Linked DNA regions of Xenopus tropicalis. The protein of the gene in region 1 binds, or shares a complex with, the protein of each later gene. Links are inferred from orthologs where the notes say so. Each region holds a gene or a part of one and is shown on either strand. Other genes may lie near its edges.

Region 1 (4,214 bases):
TCACATAATGCAATCACCTGCAGCCCCTTAAACGATGCAGGACAAGGAGACAGTGGGAATTAGTGATGCCCTAGTGAGCCCCATAGAGCGCCCAAACAATAGGCGACCTACATGCTCAGCAGGGCAGGCAAAGCTAACCTACAATTGCCCAGGCCGGGGGCCATTACCGATTGTAATGCTAATCGGAACCTCTGGGTTGTACTGGTTTTAAGAGAAAACCCTCATGTTGCCTGACATTGTCATCAATTAAGGGGGCAACGCCATGTAGACGTGAAATGGGGGGGGGCTTTTGATGTCAATTAGCGAGGCATTACTTTCAACGTCAGGGTAGATGGAGGCGGCGTACACCTCGCGGTTCTTTTCATGTCGCTTATAAACAAATGCCATTATGTAATGACGTGGGCTAATTGTGCTCAGGGAAAAAAAAAAAAGACTTTGATCAGAACTTGACAGCTGCTGGAGTGGCTTAAAGTCGGAATTTCACCTTGTACTTTAGCAGCAAGTACATCAAGACAGACTAATGACATGTGGGGGTTGTCAGTGTGGCAGACAATTAGGCAGATGAGCTTTGCTCCGGATCATTTAGTTACCCTTTAACTGCTAGTAAAGGTGTCTGTCACCCGTACAAATCGCATACGGTCATGAAAAGATTTGCAGTTGGTCTTATTTTTTTTTTTGCATTTTTGAAAAGTTTATTTTAGTTTATGTTACTATAGTAACAATAAACATCTAGGTGATCATTAAAAAGCTACTAAGGCAAAACTTCCCCTTGGGCACAGGATCACAGTATAAATTATAAAATGTCATTATGGGACAACGGAGTCTACTTAGTCCCAATGAATAACATTTTAATGTTCTGTAAATGGAGAAATAAATCCTTGGGATGGGATTTGAACCTATAAAATTACTTGTGCCATAGAAAGAAATATATCACGGAATCAAGTATTGAGACCATCATCCTACCCCCCCCCCCCCCACCCCAAAGGCCATGACAGTGGTAACAAAAGCCCCTTACCGTTGCTACAGTAGTTGCCGGTGCAGCACATTGCGTCCCTCAGGCAGCGCTTGCGGCGTTTCCGGCATGCCAAGCAGACCAGGGAGTTGCCATTTCTGGAACTGTGGCAGAACTCATCCAGGGCACAGTCGTCATCTTCTGTGCAACCGTAGAGCTGGGGGGGAAACAAGAGGAACAGGTACTTTAGGGTGGGGGGGTATCAGGATATGTATTGCTCCAGTGCAAACACAGGTGTGTATCCAAAATATGGCAATAAAGGGCAACTAAAGCCCTATGAGAGGTGGGGGAAATGAAGCTTTCAAAAAATAACAGTATACTGTGGGGAGATCACAGAATAATACAGGAAAATGACAGAATGTGTGACCAAAAAAAACAGGGGAATGACAGAATGATAAAGGGAAACAATCACAGAATGATACAGGGGAATGAAAGTATGGAAATCACAAACCAATACAGAGTATTTTAGGCAAACATGGAATGATAATGGGCAATGACAGATGAAAAACACAAGGAGAAGATTATACAGAATAGTATCAGGAGCAATCACAAAATTATAGAAGGAGATGACAGAATGCTGTAGGAAAAACCACAGAATGCTTTTCTGTCACTACACATGAGCCAATCAGCTGAGCTGACAGCCCTTGCATCACTAGAGCAGCCTTCCCCTTCTGGCTTGCACCCCAGCTAGCATGTAAGGGTTAAACACCAACTGTCAACTATATTCCTAACAGTCAGTTCCGACTGTCACCCTCACTGCTCAATACAGTTGTTTAACAAGGTAGAGATGGAACAGTAACACTATACTCTTTCATAGACAGAGATAGATAGATAGATGATAGATAGATGATAGATAGATGATAGATAGATAGATAGATAGATGATAGATAGATAGATAGATAGATAGATAGATAGATAGATAGATAGATAGATAGATAGATAGATAGATAGATAGATAGATAGATAGATAGATAGATAGATATGGATAGATGATAGATAGATAGATAGATATGGATAGATGATAGATAGATAGATAGATAGATAGATAGATAGATAGATAGATGATAGATAGATAGATAGATAGATAGATAGATAGATAGATAGATAGATAGATAGATAGATAGATATGGATAGATAGATAGATAGATAGATAGATAGATAGATGATAGATAGATAGATAGATAGATAGATAGATAGATAGATGATAGATAGATAGATAGATAGATAGATAGATAGATAGATATAGATAGATAATATAGTAAAGACAGTTAGACACAACCAGAGGCTCTGAAAAACATTGCGAAATGGAAAGGCTATACAATGTATCAAACTATTACGCATTTGACAACGTTTCGGGCGCATCATCTAAACTGTATGCAGAGCCCTACAGTATCTATACCCATAGGAATAAAAGTTGATTTCCCTGATGAGAAGAATAAGAATGACCCCCATCCTTCCAGCCCAACGTTTCGGACCCCCATCCTTGCAACCCAAGAGGCAAGAAGCATCTGACGCCGGACTTTACGCTTTATGGCCACTTACCGGGTAGGCATCCAAAGGTTGGTATTTGTTGGCAATATCATATAAGGAGTCCGGACTGACACTGACAGGGTAGTAGCCAATGGGTTGCCCAGCCGGGGCCGCTGGGACGTTCTTGATGGAGTTGGAGTTGGTCATCATGACAAAGCCAAGTGCCCCATCCAAGATAAACCCCCCCAAGGCAAAAAGAAGCATCAGGAACATCTCGTCCATTCCTCTGTCCCAGTAACCAATAACGGCAGGATAAGTCCTCCGGGGATAAGTCCCTTGGGTGCTGCTGAAGACTTGGGTGCTGCTGATGGCTAGGGTGCTTGGGTGCTGCTGAAGGCTTGGGTGCAGCGCCGGTTGTGACTGCTGCGCTCCGTGCTCAGTTCTGGAGAAGCCGCCGAGGCGCAGCGGTATTTATAGCGCAGGGTTTGTTTGCGCACACGCCCCTCCGCTCAGAACAACAAAAGCCAAGGAATTGGGATTTCAAAGCCCTGGGATTTATGACGCTCCGGCAAAGCTTAAATCACAGGGCAGACTGGCAGCCAGGGATTTCACAATAATTGTAATTATCAATTAATTCTTTTTTTTTTTCTTTTGCAAGATCACACAGGGCTTCCTGCAGAAGGGATTGCGCAAGCCATAAGGATAAATGAGGGAAAGCCTTCATATTTTATCCTATTATCGCATCAGCGGCGTAATCGTGATTTTATATGGTTACAGGTACTGGGGTGTGTAACTGGGATCGATCCCCTGTCCTGTGTTACACTGCTGGCCCTTATAGGCACTGGGGGTAAATGTGGCCCCTAGGATTAAATGAACTTTTTAAACTGCTTTGATTCACCTGATTTATTCAAAAGGGACTGGTATATAACAAGTTGCCCAAGGAATGGTCTGTAGCCATGTAGGGTGCTGAATACATGGGGCCCTCCCTGCAGATATTTGGCAGTACATGGTTATTGAATTTGACATTTTAGGTGGCCCAAATAGGTTGCGCTGCTGGGGGCCACACTGAGCTGCAGTTGTCAGTAGGAGGAGATAGGGTATAGTAGGAGTTGAGGGCAGGGTACCTACAAGAAGGCAATATATATGGTAGAGATAGGGCAATATGGTGGTAGTAGGGCAAGATGGTAGCCATAGGGCAATATGGTGGTAGAAGGGCAAGATGGTAGCCATAGGGCAATATGGTGGTAGAAGGGCAAGATGGTAGCCATAGGGCAATATGGTGGTAGTATGGCAAGATGGTAGCCATAGGGCAATATGGTGGTAGTATGGCAAGATGGTAGCCATAGGGCAATATTGTGGTAGTGGGGCAAGATGGCAGCAATAGGGCAATATGGTGCCAGTAGAGCAAGATGATAACTGTAGGACAAGATGGTAGTGATAGGGCAATATGGTGGTAGTAGGGCAAGATGGTAGTGATAGGGAAATATGGTGGTAGAAGGTCAAGATGGTAGTGATAGGGAAATATGGTGGTAGAAGGGCAAGATGGTAGTGATAGGGCAATATGGTGGTAGTATGGCAAGATGGCAGCAATAGGGCAATATGGTGGTAGTGGGGCAAGATGGCAGCAATAGGGCAATATGGTGCCAGTAGAGCAAGATGATAACTGTAGGACAAGATGGTAGTGATAGGGCAATATGGTGATAGTAGGGCAAGATGGTAGTGATAGGGGAAT
Region 2 (3,609 bases), on another chromosome or scaffold:
TACCCCCCATACACAGTGGCCCCATAGACAGTACACCCCATACACAGAGCCCCCATAGACAGTACCCCCCATACACAGTGCCCCCAATGGCCCAATAGACAGTACCCCCTCATACACAGTGGCCCCATAGACAGTACCCCCCATACACAGAGCCCCCATACACAGTGCCCCCATAAAAAGTGCCCCCAATTGCCCCCATAGAAAGTGCCCCATAGACAGTACCCCCCATAGAAAGTGCCCCCATAGACATTACCCACCCATAGAAAGTGCCCCCATAGACAGTACCCCCCATAGAAAGTGTCCCCATAGACAGTACCCCCATAGAAAGTGCCCCCATAGACAGTTACCCCCAGAGAAAGTGCCCCCATATACAGTACCCCCCATAGAAAGTGCCCCCATAGACAGTATCCCGCACAGAAAGTGCCCCAAATTGCCCCCATACACAGTACCCCCCATACACAGTGCCCCCCATACACAGTGGCTTCTTCTTCAGCGGCTCCTCATACGGCGGCAACAGGCCCTTTTATAAGGTTGCGCCCCGTGTGTACGTGTGACGTCAATACGTCACTGCACAAGGAGCCGTATACGGAGAGGAACCGCTGAAGAAGAAGGATTCCAGCCAGCGCCTCCCGTTGCCCCGGATACTTCCATGAATGTCCCGCATTTCTGTAATCTATTACAGAAATGCGGGACATTCATGGAACTATCCGGGACAGCGGGATGCGCTCTAAAAACCGGGACTGTCCCGCGGAAAGCGGGACAGTTGGGGGGTATGAAAATGTGAGTTTAGAATTTAATACATAAAAACTCACCTATGTTCAGTTCATTCCTATGGGATTTTAAGAACTGTATTTATCAATGTGTGAAAGTTAAAGTTCACTATTTGATAAATAAGCTTCTAAAAATCAAATAGGAATGAACAGAACATGGGTGAGTTTTTATGTATTAAATTTTAAGATTATTCAGTCTGCTGTATCTATAAGCAATGTGCTTTGGAATTTTGCGGCATTAATAAAATGTGAGCCCACTGCCTGTGCTACAGTTACTTCGTAGTGATGGGGACCTTTATAAGTGGGCACATTTTAATACTAAGTGCACAAGCTCTGGGCCAATTAGAATGCTGTTTGGCAAGTGCCTGCACCAACCTACCATACCTTAAATGTTTGAGTATATGGTGTAGAGCCTTGTGGGGTAATGTACTATTGCAAAGTAATATTTTATAGTTTGTCTCCTTGTGTGTGACACACACTGTCATTTTTCAACCATTTTGTTGCCCGAATTAATACTTTGCATGAACCCTAAGACAAATGCAGAACCCCAAATTTTCATTATACAAACATGGCGTCTAACCATGTGAGCTGTTATCCTTTCATAGAACTAATACAGAAAAATCTGTAGCTTGGGAAATGCATCTAGAGCCATAATTCTCTTTATTAATACCTGTCTCTTTCCAAGGTCTGCCAGGTTGGCATCGCCATCTAGCCTGGACAGCTGCCACAGAGGATCCGCAGGAGAAATTTGGAGCATATTCTACAAGCCATCCACATCTATTTCTATTTTTCCAAAGAAATTAAAGGGTCAGCATGATGACCGCAACCCTTTGGTAGGAGAATAAGTTCTGCTGGAGGATTTTCAGTATTGCTGGGCTTCCCGGGGGAAACTCCTGCCACATCTGTATTTGGACATCTTTCACAACAGACCATGGACAGCAGATGTCAGCTGCACAGTATCTTCCTGGCATTGTGACTCAAGTTGAGAGAGACGTACCTACTGTCCAAGATGTGCTGTGGCACCTTCATACAAGATCCACAAAGAGTGAGATCGGATAAGCTTGCTGGTGTTGCTGAATTAGGAAACCCCCTATCTAGCCTCTAATTCAGCACATGGACAACATGTGGTTTGTGTTGGGATGGAACCACAGCTTAATGCTGCAAGCGTTACATGCAATCATCCCTGCTCTGTGCAGCGGGGTAGCCCATATTTGACATGACATTGGACTTGCCTTCAGCTCCTACTTTTTATATTGTATTTATGAACTTACAGCTCTTAAAGGAGCAACGGAGGTTGTCTGGTTTTCTCATGATCTACTTCATCAAGAGCTACTGTGATGGAGTTTTGTACTGTGCAAATGTACATATTGTTACACTGAGCAAACAAAAACCACCAGAAATACACACAAATCAAAGCTTCAGCCATCTTTCTATGAGCCAAACTAGAACAGGTTTCCCATCATTCCCAGAGTTTACACTGTCTGATACATTGAATGAATGAATTCTGTACGAGGGACTGAAGGTTCAGGAGGACCTGCATGAAATGGGTCTCGGTGTTTATGGGGCCAGAACATTCAGTAGATCCCTGTATGCGGAATATTTGAGAATTGCATATCTGTATCCATTTAAGATGATTGTGCACATTATCAGGACTCAGAATCCATTCTCATACACAAGCCTTTGTCTTTTTAACTGAATATGTGGAAGCAGATTTTCAGCTTGTTCCATAAAATACGCTTCGATAATATTCTTGTCCAATGTCCTTGGTCATTTATTCTTTCTTTCTTTTGCTGCTGGGTAATAATTATGATCTGAGGAATGATTTGGCAGTGTCAAGAGAACATTGAATACTTGGAACAATCCTGAGACAGAGACAGGCATAGTGCAGAATATCCACATTCCCACCCAAAAGGAGCTTCATTTGCCATAAAAATAACATAATCCAATCCAGTGAAACAAAACAATCCAATCTATGCTGTTTATGTAAAGGTAAAGTAAAAGGGGTTGCTTGTCTTACACTCATTCCTCTCAGTCTGATTAGAAGAAGAGTTGTGTCAGTAGAATGACATATCTGGGCACATTTAGGATAATTGCGCTCATAAACAGGACTCCAAACTCATATTTTAAACACTTATTTGTGTTTTTTTCATGAAAACATGGAAACATTTTTTAGCTTTAACCATAAAATATGCTACGATAATATTCTTGTCCAATGTCCTTGGTCATTTCTTCTCTTTTGCTGCTGGGTAATAATCAGGATCTGAGTAATAATCTACCGGCAATTATCTGTCTAATGAATGTGGTCATTTTATTTTGCCTTGCAGACATTACACATCTCATTGTGTTATATATGTACGGCAAGTGTAATGAACTATAATCAGCATATATTTCAAATGTGCCACGTACAAATATTCTATTTTCATGAAAAACTGGTTAAAGAGGAAGATTCATTATCTAATACATGAATGGGTATTCATGTATTAGATAATTAATTTGACTGTTTAGAAGGGAATTTAATACAAAATGAAATAGAAAGAATATAGGAAGGCCCGTCATTCAGCATATTTAAAGTTTTTTTACCCAATGTTTGCAAATGAGCCCCATACCATCCACAAACACACAGAGCCCCTTGATCACATTTAGTAAAGATTTCTATGGACTCATGAGTAACTTTTTTGATGATTTATCATTCTAAATTACAAATTTGATCAAACTAGAATGACCCTGATCAATCAGGAAAGCATTTCTGACACTTTTAGTTGCTTGAAAACATGGCACCAAAGTGCCCAAACCAGTCCCCCCATAGACCCATGATAGCGCTTGCAAGCAATTCTTGAAG

What was found. The genes of interacting proteins can lie anywhere in the genome.
Region 2: the proteins of dkk1 (region 1) and kremen1 are in contact, whole or in part, in a crystal structure (PDB 5FWW), measured with the Homo sapiens proteins. The link is inferred for Xenopus tropicalis from reciprocal best matches to the Homo sapiens genes DKK1 and KREMEN1. Residues at the interface, in NP_036374.1 of Homo sapiens: Cys189, Leu190, Arg191, Ser192, Ser193, Cys201, Arg203, Trp206, Ser207, Lys208, Lys222, His223, Arg224, Arg225, Lys226, Gly227, His229, Gly230, Leu231, His261; in XP_011528731.1 of Homo sapiens: Pro67, Asn88, Asp90, Asp92, Ser94, Trp96, Gly105, Val106, Tyr107, Trp108, Tyr110, Asp127, His128, Gly129, Pro132, Thr140, Asn142, Glu164, Ser165, Tyr167, Ala168, Phe170, Asn189, Val191, Phe193, His196, Asp203, Gly204.

What each region holds. Positions count from the first base shown.
Region 1 is NC_030683.2:13,844,814-13,849,027, reverse strand, and holds the start of dkk1 (dickkopf-related protein 1 precursor), read right to left. Parts: upstream 2,911-4,214; 5' UTR 2,765-2,910; coding exon 2,555-2,764; intron 1,170-2,554; coding exon 1,016-1,169; intron 1-1,015. UniProt on the Homo sapiens protein: Antagonizes canonical Wnt signaling by inhibiting LRP5/6 interaction with Wnt and by forming a ternary complex with the transmembrane protein KREMEN that promotes internalization of LRP5/6.
Region 2 is NC_030677.2:166,149,114-166,152,722, forward strand, and holds the end of kremen1 (kremen protein 1), read left to right. Parts: intron 1-1,455; coding exon 1,456-1,615; 3' UTR 1,616-2,970; downstream 2,971-3,609. UniProt on the Homo sapiens protein: Receptor for Dickkopf proteins. Cooperates with DKK1/2 to inhibit Wnt/beta-catenin signaling by promoting the endocytosis of Wnt receptors LRP5 and LRP6.